Linked DNA regions of Oreochromis niloticus. The protein of the gene in region 1 interacts with the protein of each later gene in a pairwise test. Links are inferred from orthologs where the notes say so. Each region holds a gene or a part of one and is shown on either strand. Other genes may lie near its edges.

Region 1 (10,769 bases):
CTATTGCACCGTTGACTATTAACAAAAGTATTGCACAGTGAAGTGAAGAGGCACTACAGCTTAGTTGTTCCCCCCTCCTTTGTCCTCCTGTTTCCCCTCCCTCTCCCCTCCAGAGAGGAGTTGAACAGTCTGATGGCGTGTGGGTCAAAGGAGTTTTTAAGTCTGTTGGTTCTTGTCGTTGGGAGAAGCAACCTGTCACTGAACAGACTCCTCTGGTTGTTTATGGCCGTGTGCAGAGGATGCCCAGCATTGTCCATAATGTCCAGCAGTTTTTTAGTGTCCTTTTCTCTGCCACTGACACCAGAGTGTCCAGCTTCATGCCGACCACAGAGCTAGCCTTCCTGATCAGTTTCTCCAGCCTGGATGAGTCCTTCTTTGCTGTGTGTGTGTGTGGGGTCAGAGTGTGACCCCATAAATGACTTCCCTAAACCTGCTGGCCTGGAAGTCCAGCAGTTCATCTAAACAAAAGGCACTTAGCCTAAAACAGACATAGATACGTTTATCCTATCATAAAACAATAAGAGAAGGTATGCCCTTTTCCCATGCTCCCAGGATGTGGGTTTGAATGCCAGAACACCCTGGAATGCACCCAAAGCCTTTTGCAGTCTACTAAAGATCACACATCCTATCACTACACAATCGATTATACACCTCTAAGCATATATGGAAACTTATATCATTAAAAGATTATACTGACTACTAAGTACAATTTTCCATTGACACATAGCCAGAAATAATAGCCCAGATTAAATTAAATCCAAAGTTCTCCCAGTAATAATGCAATCTATGCCATAAGGACAAAAATACTGGGCCAAATCTCGTAATCTTTGAATCCAGGTGTTTTCATACTGTTTGCCACAGATGTATCAAGTCAAGCACCCAGTAATGCAGTCTGTCTTTGCAAACAGTTGTGAAAGAATAAGTCAAGTCAGCTTGTGAAATTTATTTGGTCCTAGATATTCCATGATCAGCTGTAAATGATATTATTGCAAAGTTGAAGCATTTAGGTAGTTTCCAGTTACCTATAGCACAGATTTAACTGAGCTATATCAATCCACTGTAATGTGTATGGTGTCTATTATCCATATAATTTAAAAGTAAAGTTTGAGTTAAGTTTGGCGCCATCCAGTGGAAGAATCAAAAAAACACACTGTCGTCAGAACACTTTACATGGTCCATTAACAGTTATTAAAAACGAGTAATTTTGCTTTTCTTGCTGTGTGTGTTTATCCTCCAGGCTGTCAAAGAACCTTATCAGTGACCAATCAGGAGAGAAGCTGCTCGAGGCTTTGAAAGACTGCAGCCACCTGGAGGAGCTCTGGTGAGAATGTGTTTCATTCCTGTAAATGTGCTTTTGGCACTTGATTGCAAGAAGTGTACAAAATAAGCCCTCAAAACTTTTGAGTGAACAGTTTAATCTTCAAACTTGTTTATTTTCCTTTGGAAAAGCTGAGTTTTATATATTTGGCTATATAATTAATTGGCATTTAACTCATGCAACTCAAAGATTGTTTTAAAATGTACATATTTATATGTCTTTTTGTGCACTCTTCCAGTCTGTCCGATAACACACTGGGAAACCTCACTGCTGCCAGGATGGCCCTCATTTTCCCATCACTGACACACCTCAGTGTGTTAGAGTAAGTCTCACCCAGGCGTATATGTTCTCATTGATATGTGTTTCTCCCCTCACTTATTCAGCCTTTTTGTTCTTTCTTTAATTCTGTGTCATTTGTAGCATTTCTCTCAACCGTATTGACCATGAAGGCTCCGATAGCCTTTCCAAAGCCATAATGTGCATGAAGAACCTCAAAAAGATTAAGTAAGACTCACTTGCTTTGATTATTTTCAGAATCACAGCTCACACAGGTGACTACACTTACTGATTGTTTTTTGTCTTTTGCACAATAATTCAGCCTGACCTCTGTTGGGACTTCAGAGCTGTGTGCTGTTGTAGCCAGTCTGGCTCACTGTCCCCTCATACAGGAAGTTGGGTAAGATCAAGCAAAAATGATCAAACATTTAATAATCTGGTGGTGTTCTGTGTTCTTTGGTACATGGACATCCCCAGTTCTGTAAGAGTTGGCACACACTATATGCAATGATTTGTAAATCTTGTAAACTCACGTTTTATTCACAATAGAACATAGAAAACGCATCAAAGGTTTAAACTGAAATGTAGCATTTAAGAAAAATAGTAGCTCCTTTTAAAGTTACTGTGATCACATCTGGCTTCTTCTTTACATGGTAGAGCTTTAACATGCACTTGTGGATGAACTGTGTTCACAAACAGTGATTTCTGGAAGTATTCCTGAGGGATTTCCATGAGAGAATCGTGCCTGTTTTTAATGCATTCTTGCCTGAGGGAACTAAGATCACAGGCATCCAATACTGATTTTTGACCTTGTCCCTTGCACACAGGCATTTCTCCAGATCCACTCAATCTTTCTGATGATGTCATGCACTGTATGAGAAGATATTCAGTTTTTTTATTGCAGATTGTTCAGCCTCTGTCCATCATTACTTCTTTTTATACCCCATTATGTGACCAACCTGTTGCAAATTAACCTAATAATTTGCTAAATGTTCCTCCAGATGTTTCTTTATAATGCCCCTTTTTTCCCACCCTTTTGTTGCCCTTGTCCCAGCTTTTCTGAGACACTATGACCACATCAAATACAAAATGTGTAAATATTATGTTTTCTATTGCCACTTGTGAACAGAATATGGATTTATGAACTCTGCAGATCATTTCATTCTGTTTTTACCTACACTTTACACAGCACCACACAGTTTAAGGAACTGATGATTTAATTATTTAAGGTATTATTGTACATGACACTATGGTTTTTAATTAAAAGTAATTTTTTGCGTGGTGCTTCAGCTTCTGTTCTTTAAACCTCTCTCTCTGTGTCTTGGTGTCTGTCTAGTCTGGGTTGGAATAACTGTCGTGATGAAGTGGCATTAGAAGTGGCCAGGGTTTTGCCTTTCTGTCATACGCTGACTCAGATAGAGTGAGTAAAACACACACATAAAGACCCGCAACTGCAAGAGTTTTACTTTTTTCCTTCCACTTTTCATTTAGGATTTCTTATATTTATTAAAACAATAAGGAAAACAACTCTAGTCTCAGTACATGAGAGATTAAGTGTTTATTTCTCACAGTCTCGAGTGCAACAGCTTGAGTGTTTCTGGAGCGGAGGCCCTGCTTAAAGCCTTAAGGTTCTGCCCTGCTCTGCAACTCATCAGGTAAACTTCCTGAACTTTTATGCCTGCATTATCCACTGAAACCTTATTAATTTTTAATGTTGTGATAATGTTCTGGTCTTTATAAATTCTTGAACTTGGTTTCAGACTCTGGAAGAACAAAATCTTTGAGGGTGATGTCCATAGGCTCGCTCTGAGGGACAGGAGGATGAATTTCTCTTCCACCTGATATGATCTGCACTGCTGGACAGTTGAGAAGTACAATTCCAGTTCACCAGCACCGGTGCAGATGAACACTCCAGTACTTCTTCTGCCAACATTGACTTAAAAATCTGTGAGAAATTTGGTTTTTTTGCTTGAAGTGTTTTGGGGTTTTTTTTCTAAGTGCTGCTCCATTAAAACACGGCTGTACAGTTTAAATAAGACAAGAAGAAATAATGTATTTTTGAAACTATTTAAATCTCTGACTTTGCACTGATTGGCCTTTGGTTTCACAAAGCAGGAAACCGGTGGAAGTCACTGAAACCTTTTTTTCAAAAGCTGTTGTCACTGTCCGCCTAACTAGAGATGCAGTTTTTAACAAAAAGTTCCCTCAAAGCCATTGAAATAACACACTTACTGTCATAATGAGTCGTATTAATCAGCAGTAGAATGAGTTTTTTTACGGCTGAGGGTGTACTGTCATCACCTTGCCAGGCGGGCGAGTAGGTGGGCGAGGACACCCAAGTGAGTGATGCTGAGAGACTGGCCAGCTGCTTCCTGTTTTATCAGTGAATTCCTGGGAGAAAGGAAAAACACACACATACACAAAGCAGGCCCTGCCAAAGGTTGAGTGTTCAGTTTTAACTAATGTATCACACTCATTACTAAATTCTTCCCTACTGAATTGGACAGATAATGTTTTACTGTTATAACGGGACTACAGTATTTCCCATATGACAGGATCATTTCAAACTTGTTACAATAAAGTTAGAAAAAGTCACAAAGTACATTATAGATGGCTTTTAAAAAATATTACACTAACTTATGTATGCACTTAAAAAAGTGTGAAATCACTAAACCTTTGTTGAGCTCCACCTTTCAGTAGCACACCACTGAGCTTCACACCGACTCAAACTGCTGTGAAAATAAAGGCCACGCTGTGTTATTTTCCTGTGAGGAAATGATGACTGTATCTTTGCAGACTCTGATACAAGGAGTCAATTTGCATTGTGGAATGTTTACAATAATTAGAGGCCACATTACTGAAAACACAAGAAATCACAAAGTCACAGTAAAAGAAGAGTTATCTGCTCCTATCGTCATTCTAGGTCGTGGTCTCTATCCAATGTGCGTATTTATTTCTGCTGTTTATCATAGTAGGACACAAGAAATTGTATTTATTTATTGAGCTGTGATTAAATCAGGGTTAAAATTTTAAAAAAAAAAAGAAATATTTTTATAGGAATGTATTTGCTTTGTGACCAAAAGAAGATCCTGTAACTTTTGCAGGTCGCACCATGACTTTCTAACGTCATGCTGATGCTCTGATTTCTGAATGTAATGCACCTTATTCCTTTCTCTTTTCCCGTGTGTAATTGTCCGTTTTTTTCATTTTTCCTTTGATTTTTGGAGCAACACTGGATCATACTGAAAGGATTTAAAATTGCTTATCTGTTAAATATAGTTTTTGAAAGGTTTGTGTGCAGGTTGTGATTTGAGCTTGACAGAAAAATTGCAGATACTTTTGATATTTCCTGACTATGAGTTGCATTAAGATGTCACCTGCTAATTAGAAAACATTAAGTTGAGTTTCTATTTTTTTGTTATGTCAGCGGTTTTACAAAGTATGATGTTAAATTTAAACACATCAATAAAGCACAAACTCAACAAAATCTGCTCTAGCAATACATGCCAGTTAAATAAAGTCTAATACAAAAAATATGCACCTCAACTATAATATACAACTTAAAAAAAATGGCAATTCTGGTTTGTTCTCAATGTCAGCAATTAAAAGTTGATACCTGATTGCTTTATGCTTTTACTTTACATCTTTTTGGTGTAGATTAGGTCATCTTATGTCCTGCTCATTATGCAAAGCACAATTCATACCTCTCCTGTTTCCTTGTCAGCGGCACCAGCAGCTGCGTTCGGTCGAAAGGTTGTAAATTATGTTCACTTTCCGCCCTCTTGTGGTTAACAGTGGTACTGCTGAATGGGCTGCAGGAGGATTACCAAAACTTGGGTCCTTTCACTTCAGGTGTTTGTGTGTGGATTGAAGCACTCGTCGTGAGTCCTTAAAAAGTTAGACACAAATCATTGTACACATTTTTAAAGGTTAGTTTACGCTTGTGGATCATATCGTACGCATTTGCAACCCTTTGGAGGCAAATTTCTCTCCATGGAAGAAGGATTTGCTTTGCTTGCTATTCTTGCACAATGTTCATCTGAAATTATCAGAAAAATGTTGCGTATACCCCAGGATTAACGAGACTCTGAAACTGTGGGCGTGCTTATACGCAGCACATAAAAAACATGCAAATGTGACTAAAGATGTAAACTTTTCCAAGGCTGAATTACATTTTATTGAGATTCAACTAAATAACAATGGAAAGTAAAATAAGACTGAATACATAACACCATAAAATACTGCGCATGCAGATGTACATGCTTAGACTTCGCTGCGGTTAGCAGAAGCATAAAACATTGGGAAATACTTTTAAAATAATGCTTTAAAATGAACGTCCTGTTGGCTACTGTAAATAGCCTTATTTTACATCTAACGTGGCTGTAGTGTTAAAAGAAAGTGAACAAACTTGGGGCCTGATGTCTGTACACAAGGGAGAAGATTAAATTCATGTTTTAAAGATAAACTTTATAAGTACTTAGTAAGTAAAAAAAAATCAAAATAATTTTAAAAAAATTATGTCTTAGATGTGGAATAAATGCATTCACCGTATTAAGTAGGGTAAAAAAAATATATGCATCTTTTTCCTGTTCTGTAATTTTATGGAAAATATAGGCACTGATCGCGCATGAAAGACTAACCGGAAGTAGTTTTTCTGCTTGACTCTTCCGCTTTTGATTTGGGAGTGAGTTTGTCGTACTTCCGCTGTGAAGCCACCACTGTTGGCTTTATTAAACTCTGTCCTTCAGTGGCGCTGGGCGCAGAGAGCACAGTCCAGGCTGCGAGGATGGTTTGTGTTCACACACTGTTGCGCCTTCCAGGATACTCGGGTTAAAAAAAAAAATTAATAATAAAAAAAATGTTAACCTCAGCTTTCACTCCTTTATAGGAAAATTGCCTCTGCTTTTCCTCTCTCTTCACTGTACGCAGCACTTAAAGATTTTTTTTTTTAAGTGAAAAGCGGCGGAGAAGTTGTTCGTCATTTACCGAGGTGAGTCGGTTTCAGATTTTCCTGTTGGGTTTACATTAGAAGAAGAGATCTGACAGCAGATCCCGAGTCAAAGGGGAACCGGGAAGCTACTAAGACGCAAAAATAACCCTTGCAGCCAAAATGTACAGTCGGTGTGCTTCTCTTGGAGGTTAATTACGGAAGGATGTGGGGAAGATGTCATGTTTTGACGAGCACCTTTCATGTAGGACCAAAAAAATATCACAGGAAATATGGTACAGAATAGACAGGTGTTGTGTTTGTGTGTGTGAAAGAGAGTTTTAATGGTTAAGTTGGCATATCTCTCTCCTTGATTCAGATTTAGAGTCTACTCTTCAGTGATGTTGGCTACTTTGCCACCAATATGGCTCACCGGTCTTGTAATTAAACTTAAAGCGTGCTGATCCTTCCGCTAGTATTAACAAGTTGCCATCTGCTTCCAGGTCATTTTCCGCCTCAGTCACTCACTTTAAGCTGCCTGCCCAAAATGCAGGTGTGAGCAGGTGTGAAGCTTTTTGGCACGGTCAGTACAGTCAGAGGCCTGCACCTGACCCTGGCTTATGTTTGTGTTTTCTTTCTACAGTGCACTCATACACAAAGTGCATCATGTAGCCAAAAATGATGCAATAGCAGCTCTAGTTTTTTTTAGAGCCACAGTACAAGAAAAATGCAGTTTTGTGAGGTTCAGTTGCTTTTAGAAAACATTCATCCTGTTTTTCCCCTCTGATGTCTCAAATATTGTGGACCTATCCTGAATCCAGTTAAAGTGCAGCACAGTTCACTTGAGCAATACACTGGACACCTTTTAAAGCTGCTCTGGTGCATTGTAGCATGCTTCATGAAGCCATGTTTTCTTTGATAATGCTATTTGGCAATCTGTGATGCCTTTTTAATCTTAATCATTCACACTTCTATATAAGGGATAGAGCAGGTGTCTGCTTAAAGCTGGATTTATCCCACTCTCTGCTCCTTCTCTCACTGGAGTTGTTAATAGCATCTATAAATACAGGAGATGCCACTGAGACCACGAACAATGAGCGAGTGAGTAAAAGTAGTTGAGCCAGTCAAAACACGCTTTTCTCCACCTATGAATGATGAAGTGAGTGAATGAAAATGTTGCACTGGTATTTTCAGTGCATCACCACTACCAGTGTGACATCACAGTGGAGCTGAGCGGGAGGAGCACGCTGCTTATGACACATTAGTATCTTAGCAACAGACAGCATCCTTTTAGCATGCCGCTGTGAGAACAAAACCACTGATCTGGACACGGGGCGCTGTGCTGTTTATTTGTCCTAAAAGCCACCTGGGAATTATTTCAAATGCAATACCACTGAGAATGTGTTCACAACATTTTTTACTAAACTCAGCAATTGTTTCAAGATTTGTGTGTGTGTGTGTGTGTGTGTGTGTGTGTGTGTATTCCCTCTTTCTGTTTTTTCCATTCCTAGCCTGAGGCTTCTTTAGTTTAGAGGTAATGGCTTTGATCTGGGCTCAGGGCACTGTGTGTGTGTGTGTGTGTGTGTGTGTGTGTGTGTGTGTGTGTGTGTGGGTGTCTTTGCAGTGCTTAATCCTGGGTATCATTTGGCTTATCAGAGGGTAACTATGACTCTCATAATGCCCCCAATGGATTTTTTTTACACCAGTGGTGTTTTATTTGTACTCATTGGGTATTTTTAGCCGAACAGAACCATTTGTATGATTAAGCCGAATTCTCAAGGTGATCTGATGTAATTGGGATTTACTAATTCTGTTATCTGGGTAAACTTCCCCTCGTTTGATTAGGTCACAAATATGTCAAACAACTTTTAAAAAAAAACAAACGGTGACATTAAAATGTTACTTCCATTCGACAAATATCAAACACTGATTTCTGTAATTGTGCTCTCTGCGTGGCAACAGATACAGACACCCAGGGTGTTGGGAGCGTCTCGTGTTCTCTCCTCAGCGGTGTCTCCAGTAATTTAGGATTTGGTTGGATACCAGCGTAAGATGAGCACATGCACATGCTTGTCTGTTAGAGTTACGTCAGGGAAACTGCGGTTCATCCTGGACACCAGCCATCTGTGTGTATGTAATAGCAACCTACAGTTGTTTACATTTACATTACATGAGAGTAGCACATTTATTTACTCACTCTTCGTGGCACTGGCAGATACTTTGAGCTGATGGTGACCGTAGGTTATTGATATTGGCTGTTTATCTTTTTTTCATGACAGCCTAACAGGAAAATCTCTGCACATCTGTTTCTGTCATTTTAAGCCTCAGTAATGTTTCAGCCAGTTTCTGTACCTGCACTCTGTTTTAGTTTGGTCTAATTAATCGTCCATTTACTGAGCAGCCATTTTGGCTCAGGGTAAACACAGGTGTAATTAATAACTCTAATTATGGCTCTGTTCCATTTGGATGGGGTGCTGGCATTGTGTATGCTCACTGACAAGAATGGCATCAGTATGCTAAATAGAACAGGACCATAACTTCGTTTTATCAGTTATACCTGTGTTCACCGGTGTTAACGCAGTAATTTACAAAGCTCATAAACACATGTTTTATTCTCAGTTGAATGTAGAAAACATCAAATGTTTAAACTGAGAAAATGTGTCATTTTAAGATGTATAAGGTCACTTTGAATTTGATGGCAGCAACACATTTAAAAAAAACAAAAGGCTGTTAAAGTAAGTGGTACTAAAAAGAAACAGCTGGAGGAACATTTTGTGACTAATTGGGTTAAGTGGCAACAGGTCAGTAAGATGACGGGTTATAAAAAGAACAAGTAACGATGGGACAAGGTCAAACAATCTGCAAAAAACTGTGTTTACAAATTGTGGAACAATTTTCAGCATAATTCAGAATCAATATAAAACTACAATATAAATATCTCCTCACCTATAGTACATAATATCATCAAAAGAGAATCTGGAGAAATCTCTGTGCACAAGGGACAAGTCTCAAAAAGAGTGTTTAATGCCTGTAATCCTCTGGTACTGCATTTAAAATGGACACGATTCTGTCATGGAAATCAACGTAAGGGCTCAGGAACACTTCCAGAAATAGCTGCCTGTGAACACAGAAATTCTGTTTGGAAACATGGACTAAAGAGGAGAGAGATCATCAAGCTTGCACCTTGGACCAACTCGAGTCAAAAGCCTGTGTCCTGTATGTTAGGATGGTGCATTAGTGCCTATGGAATTAGCAATTTGCACATGCTGAAAGATGTATACAGGTTTTAGATCAACATATGCCCGCATCCAGTCGACCCCTTTTTCAGGGAAGGCCTTGCATATTTCAGCAAGATAAAGCTCAACCACAGCTACTCCAACAGCACAGTATAAGAGTCTGGGTGTTGTACTGACCTGCTTACGGTCCAGACCATTTAGCTGTTGGAAAAATTTAGTGCAAAGAAAACATACAACAGAGATCCAGAGATCAAGACCTTAATACTGTCTTAAAATAGTACATTTTCTCATTTTGAACATATGATATATTTTCTATGTTCTATTCTGGGTGGCTGCAGCTCAGGAGGTAGAGCAGGTCATCTACAAACCAGAAGGTTGGTGGTTGATATGCCAGATATCCTTTGGTTGCTCTCTGATGCTCCCATCAGACAGTGAATGTTAGAAAGAAAACACTTATGCAGAAAAAGTACAGAAAAAGGTGTTTATAGGAATGGGAGTGAATGTGCTCCTATGCTGTGATGCAGGCTGTAACAGCTCTGCTATGATGGTACTCTGAAGAGGATAAATTCATTTAGTCTGTGAAAAAATAACCCTCACCACTTTACAGAGCCAAAAGTAGCATCTTCAGGTGTTATGTTTCCAACAGCTAACTGCACATAATGCAGAGAGTTTTAGTTCACTGTCATATCACTGCACATATTCTCATTGCACAAGCTGAGAATGTGCTGAGATTTGTTATTAATAATCACAGCAGCTCTGTTTAATCTTTTTTTTTCAATCGACAGTGGAAAAATTCATTGTAAGGATGACATATTTGGTTAAGTGTCAAGATTCAGATGTGCACAAGTATGAAACTAAAAGCCTGTTTGCTTTCCTTCAGGGTGATCAGGTGTGACCATGGCCTACACACTGGGCTTGGCCACTGATGGCCAGAAGCGCAGTGTCGGACCTCAGCACTGTGTCACTCGGGTGGAGTTGTCGGTCACTGCGTCCAGCCTGCTAGATCGAGATG
Region 2 (9,636 bases), on another chromosome or scaffold:
TGTTTTGCAAGAGTTGTTTGTCACTTAATTCACTTCTGTGAGGAAACTGTAACTGCTAAAGGACTGGATGCTGTCATTACTATGTACAGTGTCTCCTTCAGGCATGCAAAGGACAACAGGGATGGAGGAACAGTAGAAATGGCAGAGCAGGAAGCATACCGAGGAGGCCAGGAAATAGGAAGTACAAGCAGGAATAAAAGCAGTTGAAGTAGTCAGAGGAAAATTCCGTCTCATGGTCTTAAGGATTCCCGTAATTCCTCTGGAGTCCTTGAAAGAAACCTAGAATTAGCCTCTCCCAAATATCCGTTAAAAGGAATATATCAGCGTTGCTATCAACACTACACAGATGCACACCAAGAAAGATGACAGATTTTCCTGATGCTAGAAAAATAGCAATAAGCTACTTGTTCCAAACCTATCCCCAAGGTAAAGTCTACTACTAAGGAATAGATGTCTCAACTCAAGCAACCAAGAGTCGAAATGAAAGTAAAAGAATTACAGGGAAAGAGAGACACCTCTCCCATGTTTGTACATTGTTAGTCTCTTAGCTTAAGATAAACCGGAGAAGCGCTGTCATTAAAAACTCACTACAATAATATATTTCATGTGATTCATTTCCTGTGTAATTCCAGTTTGCTGTAAAAGCTAGATAATGAAACTTATCATCTACTGACTGAAGCTTTAAATTTAGTGTAAGGATGAGTGTGGTATACTATATATAATGAACAGTAACAGTCCCTTTAAAATCTAACAAAACAACAGTAAATAAATAATAACATAGTGCTAAATACACCCAAACCAGTGGAGTGGCTGTGTTTAATGAGTTGAGTTACATTTCACTGAGCACAGCTGTATACCTTTTGCTTTAAAAGCACCTTATAGTTGTTGCTTTCAATGTTTAGCTCTCCCTTCAGAGCAGAAATAACTCTATTGGACAAAACTGGGAGGTTAAATGAAAAGAAAGAAGAAAAAAAAAAGCAAAATCACAACAACAACAAAACACCATGTGCTGCAAGGTCAGAGCGAGTCCCCCTCCCACGTAGGCAGGAAGTGTCAAGCACAAATTGTCTGTGGGCGCTGCCCATCAGCAACAGGAAGAACAAAGTGCAAACCAGCAATGACGCCACACTCCTCACATCATAGGATGATGGATTATTTTATTTGAACACCTTGGAGACGGTACAGCCAGCCTGAACTTTCTATTTCACTTCAGAATGGTGGCAACAATGCTAGCCTGAAGTTTAGAGCTGTTTCCATACATTTCAAAAAAGGAGTAGGATCGTGTAATTACTTTTAAAGTATACATTTAGTGGGCTTTTAATCTTCTAAATTGTCATTATAAGGGGAATTTTGGATGAGCTCTGTATCTTTCCACTTCTCCTGCCACACTAAGGACATCTCAACAGACCAAAAATCCATTGACCCAACCATAAAAACAGCAAGGGTTCATTTTCACAGCAAATATCTACTCGCAGAGCATCCTGGTAATAGCCAAGTGAAAACACTCCAGACAGCTTCAGTCAAAGGTAATCCATCATACACTGAATAAATCTTGTATCACGTGCAGCACATTTCCTGGCTACATTTCCTACTTTAAAACAGAAAAGTGTGCAGGGTGAATTTGCTTTAATGTGAATGTATTCACACTTGGCAACCATTTAGATGCACATCAGCAAAATATACTGTACTAGATATATGGCTGTGAAGATAACTCATAGCACCCACAGGCACAAAAACACACCCACACTTGCTGGCATCCTACAGTATAGCAGGACAACACTGTTTTGTTGAGTGTATATAGAGTCTAATTACATCGTGAGCAGTGGCGATAAATCACTGGAGTCTTAATCAAAGCACTAGAACAGAGAGAGTCATCAATCACCTACAACAGCACAACACAACATCAGCCTGAAGCCTCTCCTTGTCTTCTTGGCTGGCAGCCCTGCTTTGCGCCTAACTAGGGCCATATCGCTGTGACACATTATCATTAGCACAATCAGCTCTACTTTGGATGTCCTGACAGAAAGCAATCAGATGGCAAATGGATATGAGATATATGGAGCTATAAAGCTGACAAACTCTGATTCCCATGTCACTGCATGCAGAGGAGAAAGCAAAAGATCTCTTTTCCGGTTTTCCGGGGAGTGCACGCAGCTCCTTTGAGGTTCTTCTTCCGAGCAAGGTGTCATTGTTTTGATAGCCTGCCACGATCTAGTGAAGGCCTGCTTAATTCTGATCTCTTCGGTCTTTGCATGAACCTTAACTGCAGTTGGCTGTGATGGATCGCCAAGAGTGGGGTCACCTCAAAAGCACAGTAGTGACATTCAAAATGTCCCAGCTTAAGGTGGGGGAGTGACAGATGGCATTTCAATGGAATCTATAAAAATGTGTCAGCACCAGAAGATTTTGACTTTGCCCTACTTTTCAACTAGTGTACATCTAAAATAACAATACAGGGAAAGCCAACAGAGCTGACACTGCTGCCGTCTGGAGCATACCTAACACCTTAATAAAGTGCCCAGGAGCAAGAGTGTGATTGAGACCCACGGCAATGGGTTTCAGTCATAACCAAACTGGTTTTCAAGTGTCTTCTGGGAATCCATTTCCTTTTTTTTGATGAAATGTTATCACATCATTCTGCTGTTTAACATGAGAGCATGTCCGAGGTTAAATGAAAGAGGACAAGGCGGATAGCACAAATCGAGAGAGAGAAGGGCTGAGATAGCGGGCAGTCAGCTATGAAGGACATGGCCACAGCAGTTATTTTTAGTTATCAGTTTTCAGAGGCTGTCATTCGGAACATCTCATTAAAAATCAGTTTAAAAAAAAAACCCCTCCAAAAAACACCACCACATTCAAATCAAAGAAACTCTGAGGCTTGTGTCCTGCGCACATATGAGCACACACCCCAGCATCAAATATTATGAGCTCATAAGGTTATCAGCTATCAGTGCATACATTAGCAGACTTCTGGTGACCTCTGTAGAAGACAACTTTTCCACATTTGCTTTAATTTTAGAGGCGATGTAGACAGGTGGATTAATTATGTCCACAAACCCACAGGCACCACTCTTAAAATGCAAAGAGGCCAATCCAAGGTTTATTAATGATTCTATAATAAGAGATTCATTAACACGATTTGGACACATTAAATCAGATGCTTTAGGTAGATGCCCTTAAGTAACATAATACCAAGATTTAAATTTCCTGTCTCATCACTGCAGAGTGGAAAACAACTCAAAGCAACAAATTCATTACTTTTTATGTAGTGTAGTAGAAATGCAGAAGAAAGGGTGCTGTATATTTTAGGACTTCATTTTTCATTCAGTTACTTTGCATCCACTGCGGACGATAATATTAATTCATCAGATAGTTTTATTCCACTCAAGCAGGCCATTTCGCTCTTTAATGCTCATTAACTGGTTTTATAGATGATTGCTAGTTGCGGGGCTAAAGCACATAAACCAGAGCAATTATCAGGTAATTACTAGTATAGACTTTATTTAACTCTCAGTGCCATTGTTAAACTCCAGTGCCCCACGGTGATTTAGAAAAGTTACACTAAGATTGCATGAAAAGTATCAGCATTCGAACAACTGTGCTAAATACGATCGCTAAAAATTGATTTCAGTGATATACAGCGACAAGAGTCTAAAGTAAGTGTGCACAAATATACGTGGGAATAATTATTAAAAATAAATCAATCCTCTGAAATCATTTGGCACTAACAAAAATAACATGTTTTATGAATGAATGAAAAAAAGATTAATACTGGATACTTCACTGTGGTCTAGTGTTTTAAAAGCTTTAAATCGTTATCCTGTTAAGCAATAGAGCCCTCTAGCTGTATGTTTCTCCCCATATGTGTCTCAATAATCTCCTGATTTTATCCTGCAAGGTGCCCTATGGCACACACAGCAAAGCATCCCCATAAGGCAACTGAGCCGCCTCATATATCACAGAGGGCAGGGCGTGATGCTCCTTAAAAGCTTAATTCTCTCCTGTGAACATGATGACACTTACTTTTTGTTTCTTCTGTTCGAAAAGCAGCTGCTCAGCAAGGATTTTAGAAAAGTAGAGCTTTTGTAATGTCTCCCTTTCAAAAGTGGGCTTTTCCTGTTGTATTCAGAAAGGGGCGCACAGTACAGTCGGAGTGTTTTGATCTCGGAGGTCAAGTAGTGTATGTTTTGAAGTTTTTGTTGTATTTTTTTTCCTGTGTCAAATAGGCTACAGCCACATCTAAGGAGTTTAAATATGGTCCCATAAACTTCAATAACATACAGAGATCAGATGTTAGCAGAAGAAATTGCAGCCTTTACCAAGACCATACATGGCAATTATTTTCTTCCTTTTCTCTTGTTTTGTTTCTTGTCTCTGTTCACTCTGGTGAACACAAGAGCACAAACAATTTTTTAATTTTAAATAGCCTGAATGACACAACACAAGATTGAGAATCCCTGTATTACAAAGCAAAGGCAATAATCTGCGTGAAATGTCACATTTCACAACATATTTGTGGAATACCCTAAAGCATTTAATCTCTTTTCACAGCTCTTTTGTTTCCTGGCATGCCCAGTTGACAGTATGCTAGTGTTTAGCACAGATGTTTTAATTTCAACACTTATCAGGATGAACAGAGGACCACTACAGTAAGGTGTACGGTGTAAGGGTACTGTATTGAACCAATATGGACAGTATTGATACCAATACTGGCATTGGTATCGGATCAATGCTAGGTGATAGGATCGATACTTTTTTTTTTTATCAGTATGTATTGTGAATGAATGGTGTCAAATAACTTTTTTTGGAGGGGGGTGAAAAAATATAAACATGTACTATTAAAAATGTCTGAACCGTTTTGTTTTGACTGTCACATCTATTTTATTTATAGCCTATTGTACATGTAAACAACAGATGATGAAAAGCTTGAAAAGCTGAAAGGTGTTTTTTTTTACATTTACTAATTGTTGTGGACAGTAAAAACATTACAGTGGTTGATGGTCATTAAAATGTGTTCAGAATTTGAAAATGAATAAATTATCTCATAAATCATGACACACTGCCCCACCCACATAAGCATCGGTATTGGTATTGGTAATACTGGCCCTTGATTTACTTCGTACTGGATCAATACTAAAATGTGCAGTATTGCCCAGCAATACAAGTCTGCACTTGAAAACTGGTGAGTTGTAAAGCCATAACAGGTAAATACTACCATCTGTTGGAGCTTCGATGTAATTTCCGCCTTTATGGCCGACTGTTGACAGTGCTACCTTCATGATAATGGGAATATTGAAATTCCACCTAAGTAATAAAATTAAAACTAATTTAGCATATATAGATTATATGCTCTACAGCCTCTAGCTGCGGGACACATTAATTCTAAAACTGTAAACCAGAACATTGTCAACAGAGACTTTTATCCGACAGTAACGCTATTGTTGGCTGACAGATTTCTTGTTTACTACTGCTAAATTGGACATTTGAAGTTACTCAAAGATGGCGGAGACGGACGAGCCGTAAGTAGCTGCTGAAGAAACAAGCAAGAAACCCCGAAAGATGCTTTCAAGTCACCTTAATCTGCGAAAGCACAGCATGAATCAACCTTCTTTTATTCTCTCTTTTTAGGGAGAAGAAAAGAAGGAGAGTAGTGGAGCTGACTGAGAAGTTAGTGATCAATTGGTAGAACTGGCGCAAGGTTTGAGGTTAACATTAGGAGGAAGGTTAACATTAGCTAGACGAAAAGCTAAGCTAATGCTGGTTGTAAATGAAACTTGTGAGTAGCTAGTTGACAGAAATATCCTGCCTAGTTGACCGTGAATAACTAACACGTCTGTATAGTGAATAAGCAGTGGTGTTATTAATTTCTGTGCGAAGTCAGAGGTCTGTTGTACCTCCTCACTGTTGACATGTTAGCTATTCACTTAGCTTAGCTGCCGGTAGGCTGGGAGCTATTCAGGCAGGAGATATTACCCAAAATTCAGAGGGTCAGAAACGCCCACCCGTGAGACAGGCAGTTTTAGTAAGATGTTTAAAGGGGACGAATTATGCTCACTTCCAACTCTTTGCTGCCTATTTTTAATCTTGGACTCTTCTCAAGAAGTTCACTTTTTTTTTCATCTTATACTGGACCTTGGTGTAGCCTTTCAGGCATTCTGTCTGCAATAATCACTTTCAGCTCCCGCCCTTTAAGGGAGCTTTCATCTGATTGGCTACTCTTCACAACTAGAAAGTTTTAATATGAGGTCGGTGGGGCTTTTGTGGTCACGGCCAAAGTTGTGTGCCTGAGATGACCATATAAGTAGAAACAAGCTTTTGAAACTGAAAGCTTTTGGCTCAAAGATTTGGCCATGTTTAATGTGAGCATCCACCATTGCAACAACTATGAAACTGCATAATAAAGCCCCTTTAAAAGAGCCATATATGTGAGAGAACAGAGGTTGATGCAGAGTAGACATTAAAACATAAGTGAATGTGTACACATGATGCCTACTTAGTTTCCTAAAAGTCGTTTAATTTTCTGCTGTAAATAGCACTCTTTCTATTAACATTAATCACAACATTGAGCATAGGATTTAGTTCATTTCCATGCTGTACGATTTAAGTAGCGATAAACGTTTTGTATGTTATGGGGCCATATGTTGCCATGCATGCACTATTTAACATTTTTGTCAGAGATACTGTTGATAATGCATCCTAAACACGAATGTCATCCTTAGGATGTTGGTGGATGGAGACGCTGGAAGCACCTCTGATTGGGATGACCGTTGGAACCATATCAAGAAGTTTTTGGAAAGATCAGGTCCATTCATGCATCCTGACTTTGAACCTAGCACAGAGGTAATATTTGCAGTGAGGAATCTGATACAGATATCTCATTTTTTCTGTCCTGTGCCATATTTGATATCTCTGATATGAAATGTATTCTCCTATTTTAGTCCTTGCAGTTTATGTTAGAAACCTGCAAAATCTTGGTCATTGGTGCTGGTGGTTTGGGATGTGAGCTGCTAAAAAACCTGGTATTATTATTATTATAATTATTATTATTATTATTATTATTATCATCATCATTTGAATGGTATAATTATAATTGCAGTGAATAGTTCGTATTTAATTTTCATCTTTTTGTTCGTCTTGTGGCTCAGGCCTTATCAGGCTTTCGCAACATTCATGTTGTTGACATGGACAACATTGATGTTTCCAACCTAAATCGACAGTTCCTCTTCAGGTGAGTAGAATCAGTCAGTTCTGTGTAAAGTCTGATCCTTACTGTGTTATGTTTTATCTTTGATTGTCATGTGTCTGTAATTTTCACTAGAGCTAAAGATGTAGGTCGGCCCAAGGCGGATGTTGCTGCTGACTTTATAAACAGCCGTGTGCCTGGATGCTGTGTAATCCCGTATCCTTTTGATTGAGCAACTATTCTGAGACTTCAAATGCTTTATCACGTGCACATGGTTAAAATTTTAACGTACAGTCCTTGTGGATAAAATGTGAAAAATGTTCAGATATTACAGTTTTAGAATGCAAAGACACCATACTACTTTTCTGTGATGCGAACAATATGAAGTGAATGTTGTGTTAAAACCCAAACCTTTCCTAAATGTTTTGTGCAGCTATTTTAAAAAGATTCAAGACTTAGATGAAACATTCTACAGACGTAAGTATCAACAGGGCAATCCATTACTGGCTTTTGTAATGTCTGAATGGATTTGCTCACTTGAGATTAATTTTGTTTCGCATTAAATATCTCACTGCAGTTTAATTTATTTTTTTTAAGTGTGTGTAACCCACTCTAAATGAAAAGTCATTGCACCACTTAATAGAATAGAGAAACTTACTTCACATGTCCACTTTCCTGTGATGTAAACCTGCTCCTTAATGATCTCACTTGCCATTAGCAATTTACATGTTAACTATAGTTACTTGAAAAAGAAAGTTTTCACAGGACCCCATGAAATCCTATGAAAATCCTCCATGATATTCTTAAAACCCCAAGGGCTACAGACTCTACAAGTCTCAGTTAACAGGTCAAATGCTAAAGTTCATGACAGCACAGTTAGAAAAAGACTGAAGAAGTACAGTTTGTTTTGAAGGGTTGCCAGGAGGAAACCTTTTTGCTCTAAAAAAGTGGGTGATGATTTTGGATCTTTTGCAGCCACAGGACACTGGGCACTTTGCTGTCTTTGATTCAACCATGAACTCCTCAGTGTACCAAACTATTCTGTGAGGCCATCTGTCTGATAGCTAAAGTTCACAGCAGCGAATCTATAACAGAAAGGTTGAAATGCTGTGACAAGACTTCAAGAGAGCTGAGCATCTTAGTGCTGCTAACGGTGGTTCTGAAAGCTACTGAATCACGGGATGTCGTTAGTTTTTCACATAACTGCATAGAATCCATAAACTTTATACTCCACTTTTTGATACCTCCACTTTTTTTGACATTTTCTTCACAAAATTTGAATAAAAAAAACAATTAGAAAACGTAGAAAATTGGATTTGAGTTTGTCCCTCTTTCTATCTTTACCTAGAATTCCATATAATTGTGTGTGGATTGGACTCTATTGTGGCGAGGAGGTGGATGAATGGTATGCTGGTAAGTTAAATCTCTTTATTGTGATCTTTAACATGATCTGTTTAGCTCTTCACAGTTGAAAAATGACTGGATTTCTATCTGTAAGACCATGCTAGCTAAAGGGAACAAATTTTAAATGTAAACTCTGTGTTTCTGTTTTTGTGTAGCTATCTTTGCTGGTGTATGAAGATGGTGTCTTAGATCCATCATCCATCATTCCTCTGATTGATGGTGGGACTGAAGGCTTTAAAGGCAATGCCAGAGTCATTCTCCCTGGCATGACAGCCTGCATTGACTGCACACTTGAACTTTACCCTCCCCAGGTAAGGTAGCAGATGTTTGTGTAAAATAATGATCATAGCCATGAGTTAATTATCTTTCAGAACCAGATCCCAGTCAGTTTTTCAGTGCTAAACCCAAACTGTGTCTTTAGATCAACTTCCCCATGTGTACAATAGCCTCAATGCCTCGTCTGCCAGAACATTGCATTGAGTACGTGCGAATATTGCAATGGCCGAAAGAGATGCCCTTTGGAGGTAGGAAGTCACACCATATTATATATTTTTTTTTAATAATAATTACAATTATGAGGTAGTCAAACCTGTGAACAGAAAGTATGTTTCAATTTTTGTTTATTTTATTATTATTTTTTGTTTGTTTTAATGTGGATTAGATGACATGGCTCTGGATGGAGATGACCCAGAACACATCCAGTGGGTGTACCAGAAATCTCTGGAGAGGGCAGCAGAGTTCAGCATAACAGGAGTCACATATAGACTAACACAGGGTGAGCTTGTATAAATAGCATTTCTGTGGCCACGAGGTGACTGTTATTTTTCTAGCTACTCCTGTGGAAGATGAGCCAAGTAATATAAAATACAGCAAGCTGATGGTGCTTTCATTTTGTGTGGAAACTCTTATCTTAGTTTGTGTCAGTAAAACATTACAACACTCCCTAAAGTTCATTCAGATCAGAAGATTTGTACAGCTTTTCTTTCTTTTGACCAAACTGCATTTTCCTCTTTGTTTTCTTTCATGATTAGAGATATAAAAAACTAATT
Region 3 (10,584 bases), on another chromosome or scaffold:
TCCTGCAGGTTTTAGATATTACCCTGGGTCTACACACCTGAATCAAATGATGAGTTCATTACCAGGCCTCTGGAGAACTTCAAGACATGTTGAGGAGGTCATTTGACCATTTGAATCAGCTGTGTTGTGGATCAAGGACACGTCTAAGACCTGCAGGACACCGGCCCTCGAGGCCTGGAGTAGGACAATCCTGCCTTACAGTCATAAACTCTTTCCAAATTATCTTCTTCTCCTTAAAAGGTTTATGATTTTTGCTGTGTGTGTCCTGTTTTCACTCAGCTGATGTTTACTGCAGCACATTGAACTAGGCGTGCCCAAAATGAAACTACATCAACAGAAATCTAAACATAAAGTTTTTTCATCCCACCCACTGCAGCAATGACAAAAGAAAGAAAACTAACCCTGAATTTTAAATCAGGGCCCATCTTGTGACCTGTTTCAGTCTGCAACTCATCTGACTAAGGCCAAACTTTCAACTGGTTTTCAAAAATAAAAGCAAAAGAGTTTGGTACTTTTATTATGACTTGTGCACAGGTTATCTTAAAAGCTTTATCTGAGTCACTTTGGAGTATAAAAAAGCTACGCTGTTTCTCCTTTGTTAATGTGTAAAGGTAAAGGATTTCATAATGTATGAACGAGTGTAAACAAAGTTCTCGGAAATGCAGAGAGATGCAGAGAACTTCAGGTTTACAACAGATAAAAGTCACTCCCAGAAAAGGTCAGGCGTTGTTAACAAAGATTAAACTGACAGCAAAACAACAAAGAAGCCGTCTCCTAAACCTTCAACATCATTAGCTATTACACCACTGTTAATGTTCTAATATATATTTTAGATTGTGCATGAAAAGTGCATCACTCTTCTACAGTTCAATGTGTTTCGGTTTTATAGCCGTAAAATATCCATCAAAATAAAAACTAAAGTAGAGGACTGACAAAGCTGCTCAAAAACAAACCAAAAAACAGCAAATATTTTTAATTAGCACCATCATCATCCAGTTATTTTGTTTCTTATTTGTTTTTTATTCAAACATAAAGTGTTTAGTATGTCCCTGGAAGACTGTTTGGCTTTTTTGAAGCATGCAGGTTGGTTTGGATTTAATTCCTGACAAGTGAAAAAAGAAAGAAATGCAAAAAAAATGTTTTGGGCTGATATTTCACATGTATGAACAAAGCCTAACAATAGTACAAGAATCTGTGCACAGAAGATTAAAGCTCACTAAGACTTATACTGTGAGTGTCCTGATGTCTTCACCCAGCTCTCAGACATTGAACTGGGAATGGAGGTCACTGACATCATCAGAAAGTACAGTCACTTCCCCACGCCCTCCTCTTTTCCTTTCCTGGTTATGCTGGGAGTGTTTGTGTTTTCAACCACTATAAAACACAAAGCAGAAGAACACCTTCACCCATCAGGACTCAGCTGACAAGTATTATTTACATCTTCAAAATGCCATGGCCATACTCTATGAGGATTTTTAAATGTAAGTTACAGAGCTGTTTTATATATCAGTTTGGTAAATCAATAATTATTATTCCAAAATCAACAAATATCAGCTGTTTCTATATTGTTACGAGACTAAACAGTTATTTATGTTTTATGAAAACAAACAACATAATTGACTCTGGAAATTATAGTGCATAAATATGAGAAACAGATGTTTTTCACTTGTAACTTTGAAGAATGTAAGATCTGCTGTTATCTATTGAAATAAATCCCTGAAAACTGAGTGAAAACAAAAAAGAATATATGAAAAAAGTACTGTAAGGATTAGCAAACAACTGCAAAAAAATGTCTTAATGATAAGTTGTGAATTAATTGTAAAAATCTTTAAATATAAAGTTTATGTTTTAGAGGAAATGCTTATTGCCAAAGATAAAGTGCACACACAATAACTGTGTGAGAGTCACACATAAACAATGAATAATCACCGGCCACCTAGTGGACATTGAATGCAACTTAGTTCAGGATGAAGTCCAAAGCGCCACATGATTCTCAAAAGTGAAAGCACAGGAGTTTGCAAATTTTATTATGACTTCTTTACAAGTTTATTAGCTTTTATAGTTGCACTAAAATCTTTTTCAGAAACAACTTAACGGTGTAAAATAAGCTCATGATAGAAAACCTTGTCACATTATTTTCTGTTATCTTTTATTAATAGTGAGTCAGACTACTAATTTTCATTAAAACCATTAAATGTATGCATTATATTTAAGCATCTGATCACATGCAAAGAAATATTTTTATATCAGCACTAATAACTTTTATTTAATTCTGTGTAGTTGGCAAGTCAGAGGTGTCACACAGATGCAGCTCACGCTGTGTCGGTCCTCTGACCTTCGACAGTCAAGCTGTGGGAGAAAAGATCCGCCTGAGTCATGGAGGTCGACTCGCAGAGAAGACTGAGAACACCTTCAAGAATGGGCTGGTGTTCAGCAGCCGTCCAGTGAAGGTCCAGGAGAAGATTCGTCTGAGAGTAGAGAGGGATTCGACCATCTGGGACGGGGCTCTGCGTGTGGGCTTTACCACTGTGCCACCCTCAGCCAGATCTCTACCTCTGCCCTGCATGTCCATCCCCAATCTCACTGACAAGCCGGGACACTGGGCTGTTCCACTGGATGAATCTGTTTGTCAAGCAGGTTCAGAGCTGGAGTTTTGGGTTTCTTCTCATGGCAGCATATACGTAGGTGTCAACAACGAGGAGTACGAGCGACTAACAGGAGTGGACATGAAACAGCCACTGTGGGCCATGATAGACATCTACGGACAGACGCGCTCCATTTTATTCCTGGGTAAGTTCACTAGAACCACAGTTATATTTGACCTGCAGAATGTTTTTCCTGTTCTGTGAATGCAGAGCAATTCACATGCTCTGACAGTTATAAATGTTGTCTGAATGACCATTCATAGACTGAATGACTATTCAAATACTCCTTTCTCTTTGCTGAAGACTCCAAGAAAAACAAAAAGCTGCTTTACCATAGAAGATCCTGTCCTGCACCTGAACCGCTCACCTCACCTGATGCTTACAGTCACTTTCGTTCAGTTCCTGATGTTTCAAACTTCAGACGTGATGACTGCATCTCCTGTCTTGACACAAAAATGCCAGAAGGTAAAGAGTCATTTCAAACATTATTGGCTAATTTCAGTTGCACATTTCTGACCAGAGAGGATAAAAGTGAAATCAGCTGTAATAGTGTGGTCTCATTTCCTGATGTCACATTTGTAATTGGGATCTCTCTCTTTTTACCACAGATAAAATCTGTGTGGTGTGCATGGTGAAAGAGGCCAGAATCACACTGCCTTGTGGTCACCGATGTTTATGTAAAGACTGCAACTTCAGAGTCTGTGAGCAGTTTGGTACCTGTCCGCTGTGTCGACACACGATCAGAGCTTCATCAGTGGTGGAGAGGTGGTTTATAGAGGTCAGCTGATCTCTGAGACAACAGCCCGGAATTGTGACAGAAGAATAGCAGCAAGAGTGAAAGGGAACGTTTACAAGATGGTAGTGATGTTCTGCTGGGATGTATGGTGTGGAGATGGTGGCACTGACAAACAGACAGGAGGCCAAGTGTTGGCAGTTTTGAAGATGCTAAGAATGTCTCTGTTAGTGACCATACGGGACAGGACTAGAAATGAGTACATTTAGAGGACAGCTCAGATTGAGCGGTTTGGAGACAAAGTTAAAAAAGCAAGGCTAAGATGGTTTGCACGTATGCAGAAGAGTGATAGTGAATAAACTGGACAAAGGATGTTGAAGATGGAGCTGTTAGACAGGAGGAAGAAAGCAAGACAGAAAAGGATGATAGGATGATCCACTGTGCCGACCCTGAAAGGGAACAACCAGAAGAAGCAGAAGAGGAAGAAAGAAACTTTACAAAAAGGTTGATGTACAGACACTGAACTGAAATATTTCTAAATTGAAATGATTGAAATAGTACATCTCTTTTTGTTTTATAAACAAAATGTATTTTTGTAATTTTTAAGTCATTGTATGACTTAAACACTTAATGCAAAATGTGCTGTATGGTTCATTTTTCATTGTTATTGTAAATTGTAAAGCAATGTTGGATTTTTTAAAATAAAAAATTCAACTATGCCAGTATAATTAATGTGTAATATGTCATAATAAGCTCTTTTCTGTTATTTAGCTGTATGTGTTTTTATGAAACTTACTGTAAATTACAGTGAAATTAAATGGACTGTGATAAAAGGAAACCTGTCGAGACCATGTTTGATTAAAAATGTCTCTACAATCAGGTATTTACTGATTATAGGGACATTAAGAGAAAAATCAAAGCAGGAGTTCAGGTAAGAACACACTGTGTTGCCGACCCAGGCCAGCCCACGTACGTGTCATTGAAGCGGCCCTGATGGTCACAAACTGCCTGCAAGATGAATGATGGGAATAGTTTCCTGTTTCTGTAGCATTGACCATCAGGGCCGCTTGGAGACTTGAAGCGGATGTGGCAGCCGTCGATTGCCCCCACCGCTCTCAGAAAGGCTCTATGGCGTGCCAGCCCTGCAAACCCACAGGACAATACCTCCAGGTCCTTGAGGGTCTTTGGGAGCAGCATGATCTAGTGGCTAATGGCCACCACCCCCTCTGTGAGTCTATGAACAATGTAGTGGACTGTAGAATGAGGCATCCCAAACACTCTTGAGACCACCTGTAGGATGCTCCTCTTGCCAACCAGAAAAGAAACACCAGGGTCTCAGTTGTTGCACCCCAACCATGCTGCCGATCCGGGTTCATGAGATTTAGCAACACTGCCATAGACTCCCTGCTTAGCCGAAAATCAAGCCTGCGATCCTCATGGTTAAAAAAACGGTCCAGGATTGGGACACTCAGGTTAATCCTGCAGTACCAGACTCTGGTCTGGTTAAGCAAAAGGTGGAGAACAACATAAATAGTTTTAGTAATAAGGTATGATTTCATTTATTTTAAGAGATCAAAGCATTAATTTGAATATTAAGCTTAAGTAAAAAATACTAATGCACTGTGAAAAGACTTAAATATTATACACTTCATCTGTGTAAATGCTAAAAACTGAGTAAGTAAAAAACATCAAACAAACGCTAGCTGGGAAATAACAATGCATCATTGATCACATTATTAGACATACTAAAGGTGTCTAATTAGTCATTGAAACGAATACATATCAATATATAAGATTTGCAAGTTAATTTATATGTCTCAGCATATTTTATAACTGGAGGAAAATACATGTTATGATGAAACAACATTTTTATTATTAAATATTTAACCTGCCTACTGTTTGAAGTGGAGGTTTGCAGGTGTTTAAATTGGAGGGAATACATAGGACTGCCTAAATTACTACAGCTCCTTGTCTCTGGCGACATCTGTCTGTGCAACCTGATATCATATGACAAATCCTGTAATAGACCCAACAGTTCCCCTCAGAGCCACAGAGGGACGGTGTGGTACTATCTTTCATGTTAAGGTGCTTTCCAATGCAAAGTCTGTCAGAGTGAAATTGGAGGATATGTTGGGGTGTTGCTTTTTGGACTGCAAAGAGGATCCAACAGAGAAGAGGGCATACATCATTTGACCACTGATGGAAAAAATAGCTTGCAAACTTGTACTTGTGTGTCTGGTGTTCCAGAGATGACCTTTATTAATCAAAAATGAGTTTTTCCTCTGTGAATAATGGATTGCTCATCTGGAAACTTGGTTCAAGAAGAATAAATAACGGTCCCTGTTGAGCTGTTTGGTAACATGGTTGTCTTTTGTCTCTAACACAGCGGCAGACTCACAGAGGTGCGACCTTTGATTCCTGGTCTCACAGCCAGACTGTTAAATATTTATCTTGGATGGCAGGGCTGCGCTGCTTCTGGACTCAGGGTGAAAGAATCTAACAGATAAAACCCTCAAGAACTTAACAGAAGCTTAACATTTGTCCAGAAATGCAGCCGATCTTCATGATTACACTGTGGATTTTACAAGACTACAGCTTGAATACAAAGGTTTTCTCATACTGGGTGGCTGCATAGGGCCTGATACAGAGGATGGAAAAAGTGACACTTATTTTGGGATTAGCCTTTGTGTCCTAGTCTGGGGCAAGTGTTTGCATATTTGGGGTTGTTAGCGGATATGAGTTCATGTAAAAGAAAAAAAGAAATATACTTTCCTGGATCCTGTCTGCTATCTGGATGTCATAGAAAGTGCTAAAGACTCTCCTTTTTCCTTTTTTTTTGATTGATATGAATGTGACACACACTAAAGGCTTAAGAGTGTGAATAGACCAACAGGATTATAACACTAAGGCCTATTTATTGAGATTGCTATAGAAATCATCTTTTTTGGCATGTGCTGTCAAACACCGGAAGGTGGTTCTGCTGCGCCTCTATGGGAATTTCTATTATTTCCAGCTGTGGATGGAAACTATTACCAAGCCCCTTTTTCCCTGATGAGCTTTAAAGAGCATGCTCACACAAACACAAGAAACACACACACACACACATATTACATGCGCACGCCTATGGACACCCAGTCAAACATTCAGACTCAGGCTGAATCATTCACAGAAGATAAAAGACACCCTGTTGGCTTTACAAAGAGAAAGAGGGAGGGAGAGTTCGAGAGAAAAAGCAGCAGCAGTAGTGCCCTCCTTTTTTTTCATTCACTTCCTCTCTCTCCTTGTGTGCTGCAGAGACTTCACCGCTCAGCCTGCACTCTACAGCCTGTAAGTACTGTACAACTTGTGCCTCGGCTTCTCACAGTGACTAACGCAAAGGTTAGAGCTACTGGGATTTAAACGCTCAGAAAGAAGACTTATGTTTTTCTAGCCTCTTTCAGTTTTGACTTCAATTTTCGTGTGAGACTGTAGCACAGATGTGATATTTGCTTCTTCTCGTCACTACTCAGTTCATCACTGGCATTGACAAACAACATAAGGCATTATTTTTTTTAAGTCACTGGTCTGTTACTGCTGTGGGTTTATTTTCAGAATTTGTTTAAGTGACCTTAAGCAGCTGTCTGTGGTTCAAAAGATGGTTATCATCTGACCTTTATCCACACACCGACTCCCATGGTGGCTTTACATGTGGGGATATTTCAGTGTTTTCATCCTAGAAGTGCACTCTATCGCTCTTTTGGAAACAGGCATTAAAACCTGCAAGGATTTATTTCTATACAAGACATGTTTAGAGTGTGAACCAGAGTCCTGGGACATGTACAGCTCAGAAAAAAATGTTGTTTACTGCTAAAATAAACTCTGATGCATTTTTGTTTGTTCTCAGTGACATTCCACATGGGCTACCTCAGCGCATAACCTGTTGTATGGCCGTCGTTCCTTATCAGTCGTCTATCATGATGGCAATGTTTTTCTACGCTTTTGACTTATCTATCTTTACATCTTTCATTTGATTACAACAGTATCTGCTGTCTCCTGTCTCCTCAGAAGACGGAGAAGCTGATGCTTTAAAAAAAGGCTTGGGCCATAGCCACCAAGTATTTTAAGGTTTTTAGATGATTGACCTCCTGAGATCTTTAGCTGTCATTGTTTTAATTAGCTTGTGTGGTAAAGGTCTGCTTGAATCTATCAGTAACAATGAAGGGCTGAAGTACAAGATCATCTGTGTTCCTTCCTATCGTGATTATCTGGTTAAAAACCCCAAAATAAAACAAAAGACAAAAACAAAAACTGGAGCTGACAATGAGTAAACCTTCATGTTTGCGTGGCAATAAGAGAGTAAGACAAATTGAGCAAGGTTTTTAATACAGAGACGTGCTGAGCACCACCGCGCCAAACCTGCTATTGCCTCTTACGTGATTACCTCATTTAGGCGCAGAGTGACAAAGTACCAGATTTGGTCACAGCAGGGTTAAAGTCTGTGCCAGCAGGACACAGATTATGAAGGAAGGCTCCTCTAGATCGCCCTGCACTGTCCGTTTAGGTTCAGCAGCTCAACTGGTTGGCGAAAACAATCCTGTGAAGCGTACAAGCTCAGTAAGTGGATATCTGCGCTGAGCTTTGGTGTACCAAGCCAGACCGCTGAATTATTGAAAGAGCTGAGTGCTTCGATTTCAAGTTGAAACTGGCGAGCACATGCACAAAAACATACACTTTTAAACAAATGGGCAGACCGTTGAGTAGGCCCTGATAAATTTCCTTCTTTGTCCTGCTGGCTTTCAGTTTATTGCTGGAATAAAACATGGATGTAAAAGGAGGGATTGCATCTGTCAGCAGGTGATCGGATCACTCACCTGCAACACAGACATTGTAAATCAGTCTTCCTGCTGCATAATATGTGCCAAAGCAAGCCTGTCAGCACACTGGATTTCAGGTTTTACACCGTTTGTCTTTTTTGGCAAGAACTGTGGGCAAACTGGAAATCCTGGTTTCATTTGGGCAAGAACTGTGTGTGTGTGTGTGTGTGTGTGTGTGTAAGACAGCAGGATTTAAGAATGTGTTTGTTCCTGTTTGACTGATCTCCTTCTAATTTGCCTTTAAAAGGGCAAAACATATTTCAGTCTCTTGTTGTTTCATTTTTATCTTCACATCCAAAAAAGTATTGCTATTGTGTGCGATCATGGGAGAAAAGTCAGCAGGACTTGTGCTGTCAGTGGTTGCCTATGTGGCGTAGAGTAATGACTCTGAAACACTTCCAGAGCTACAGGAACAGAAAGAGCTCTTATTCTCCCTTCATGCCTTTGGCTAGCCAAAGACCTGGACTGTGTACACACACACATTCATGTAAGACACACACACAGACACACAAAAGGAGAGGAAGGCATGGGATAGATAAAGTTAGGAGGGGACATGATGGAGTCACTGGGTAGTGTCTGGGAGGTGGAGGTGATGAACTATTTTGGTTCTCCTTTGGTTAACCCTGTGCAGTGAAATATCACCTTATGACAACAATAGAGCTGCTTCACTGAAGGAGGTGCCCCAAACTGACAAGTCAAGTACGAGGGGGGCACTTCTTGAATATGGGGGGGTTAAAATGGGTTGCTATGGCAATGCCTGTCAACCGGAGAAGTCTTCCGCGGAAGCAGGGAGAGAGAGGACTGGAAAAGAGAAGAAGAGAGAGAGAGAGAGAGAGAGAGAGAGAGATTGTGTGTCCTGGCTAGTTTCATGAGTCAGAGAAAGTGGAGGGAAGGTCTGCAAGTGTGGTTTTCATGCACAGCTCATGCAGACAGAAAGAGGTGTGAGTGGGTAAGTACACCAAATGGGAGCACAAATATATAAAAACCAATAGCAGGGATTGACCTTAAGCATTGTGGCTGTCTGGAAACATGTGTAAGTTTTAAAACTGTGTTTTGTTTAAGGTTGAGTAACCTGTCTGACTGCTCAGGGATTACATGCTGCTCTACAGGATTAATGCTGCGGTTTACAGTGTCTTAAAGCAAGTTAACTCATGTAGTTAGTGTTGAAACGGACAACAGGAGTGTGCTCCACTTGCGTCTGAGCAAGTGGAGATGAGAGCAGCTGGAGTCACAGCTGGAGCACTGAGGGAGAGAGTGAGAGTAAGAAAGAGAGAGAGAGAGACCTGGCATTGGGGATAGTGTTTCCCAACATGTCATCCCTTGTTGCTTTGCCCAGTGGGTAAGTGTACACTGGCAACTGTCAGGTGAGCTGAGAGGAAATAATTAGTTCTGTCAGGATTACTTTCCCATCTTGCAGCAGATATCAGGCCTAATGGCCCCAGGACCGTCCAGGCATCACCGGAGGCCCTCCTCACTGTCGGGGTAATTTCCACAGTTGGCTTTGACTCCCTTTGTGATATTACTGAGGGTCTAGCTGCCAGCACTCATAACCACTGGCTGCACTCAGCTTTGAAGATGCAAGATGACAAGCATGAGGATTTGTGACATTTTTCTGCAGTTACTCTGCTCTGAGCTTTGTATTTTCTCATGCTTTGTCTGGCGTATCGAACACAAGCTCAAATAAGGAATCACTTTAAATGATGTGAAGCATGCTTTTTTTGTTGTTTTTGTAAGAGCAAATCTGATAAAACGGAACCTACTCTGGCTCTACCCGGAGAGGGAGGCTGTGATTTACTGCCTTTGGGCTTCTCCTGGGAACTCAGCGCCTCTCCATTGACAAGAAGTACAGACTCCTCCTGCTGCTCAGACTGGAGGAGCACCATACAAGGAGGTGAAATACTTCCCTCCTGATAAATGTGTGTATCCCCTCAATAACTGCATATCATAAACTTGCGGCTGCAGGACCTTGTATGGGCTGCGTCGGCACATCTGCGATGCTGCACACGGGAAGCAATGTTGTACCATCGACCTCGCAGAACTGACCTCTCACATAGCTGCAGAGTGACTCACTTTATGTGTTTGGAAATAAAAGCCTGTTTTATTTACTCGACAAATGTGCTTGTAATTACCATCTCACCACTTTTTAAGGCAGGATTTTGTTGGTTTTTACAGCGCTCTTATGTAACTTACTGGGCAGCAGTAACACTGTGTACGTGCAGATGAGGTGATAAGACTTTACCCTTCAGAGCAGGTTAAAACAATATCCACACTCCTATACATGATTAGAATCTTTTTGCACATTTTAAGGATTTTATGGCACTCTGAGAGTGTTTAGGTCGACATGTTGTAGCCG

The links.
Region 2: the proteins of cpne2 (region 1) and uba3 interact in binary tests that used the Homo sapiens proteins (3 or more experiments, as listed by UniProt). The two-hybrid records come from large-scale screens. The link is inferred for Oreochromis niloticus from reciprocal best matches to the Homo sapiens genes CPNE2 and UBA3.
Region 3: the proteins of cpne2 (region 1) and sorbs3 interact in binary tests that used the Homo sapiens proteins (3 or more experiments, as listed by UniProt). The two-hybrid records come from large-scale screens. The link is inferred for Oreochromis niloticus from reciprocal best matches to the Homo sapiens genes CPNE2 and SORBS3.

What each region holds. Positions count from the first base shown.
Region 1 is NC_031972.2:7,548,341-7,559,109, forward strand, and holds the start of cpne2 (copine-2), read left to right. Parts: upstream 1-6,326; 5' UTR 6,327-6,584; intron 6,585-10,637; 5' UTR 10,638-10,654; coding exon 10,655-10,769. Other genes in the region: protein NLRC5, read left to right, coding at 1,238-1,321, 1,557-1,640, 1,739-1,822, 1,917-1,994, 2,931-3,014, 3,166-3,249, 3,355-3,436.
Region 2 is NC_031970.2:29,901,549-29,911,184, reverse strand, and holds the start of uba3 (NEDD8-activating enzyme E1 catalytic subunit), read left to right. Parts: upstream 1-5,467; 5' UTR 5,468-5,499; coding exon 5,500-5,519; intron 5,520-5,628; coding exon 5,629-5,667; intron 5,668-5,679; exon of another isoform or gene 5,680-5,698; intron 5,699-6,719; coding exon 6,720-6,840; intron 6,841-6,938; coding exon 6,939-7,019; intron 7,020-7,145; coding exon 7,146-7,228; intron 7,229-7,318; coding exon 7,319-7,399; intron 7,400-7,616; coding exon 7,617-7,660; intron 7,661-8,531; coding exon 8,532-8,596; intron 8,597-8,742; coding exon 8,743-8,898; intron 8,899-9,008; coding exon 9,009-9,111; intron 9,112-9,248; coding exon 9,249-9,362; intron 9,363-9,636. UniProt on the Homo sapiens protein: Catalytic subunit of the dimeric UBA3-NAE1 E1 enzyme. E1 activates NEDD8 by first adenylating its C-terminal glycine residue with ATP, thereafter linking this residue to the side chain of the catalytic cysteine, yielding a NEDD8-UBA3 thioester and free AMP.
Region 3 is NC_031977.2:13,311,835-13,322,418, forward strand, and holds the start of sorbs3 (vinexin), read left to right. Parts: upstream 1-6,523; 5' UTR 6,524-6,705; intron 6,706-6,737; exon of another isoform or gene 6,738-6,756; intron 6,757-9,078; exon of another isoform or gene 9,079-9,180; intron 9,181-9,982; exon of another isoform or gene 9,983-10,122; intron 10,123-10,584. Other genes in the region: E3 ubiquitin-protein ligase NEURL3-like, read left to right, coding at 1,448-1,481, 2,281-2,849. UniProt on the Homo sapiens protein: Vinexin alpha isoform promotes up-regulation of actin stress fiber formation. Vinexin beta isoform plays a role in cell spreading and enhances the activation of JNK/SAPK in response to EGF stimulation by using its third SH3 domain.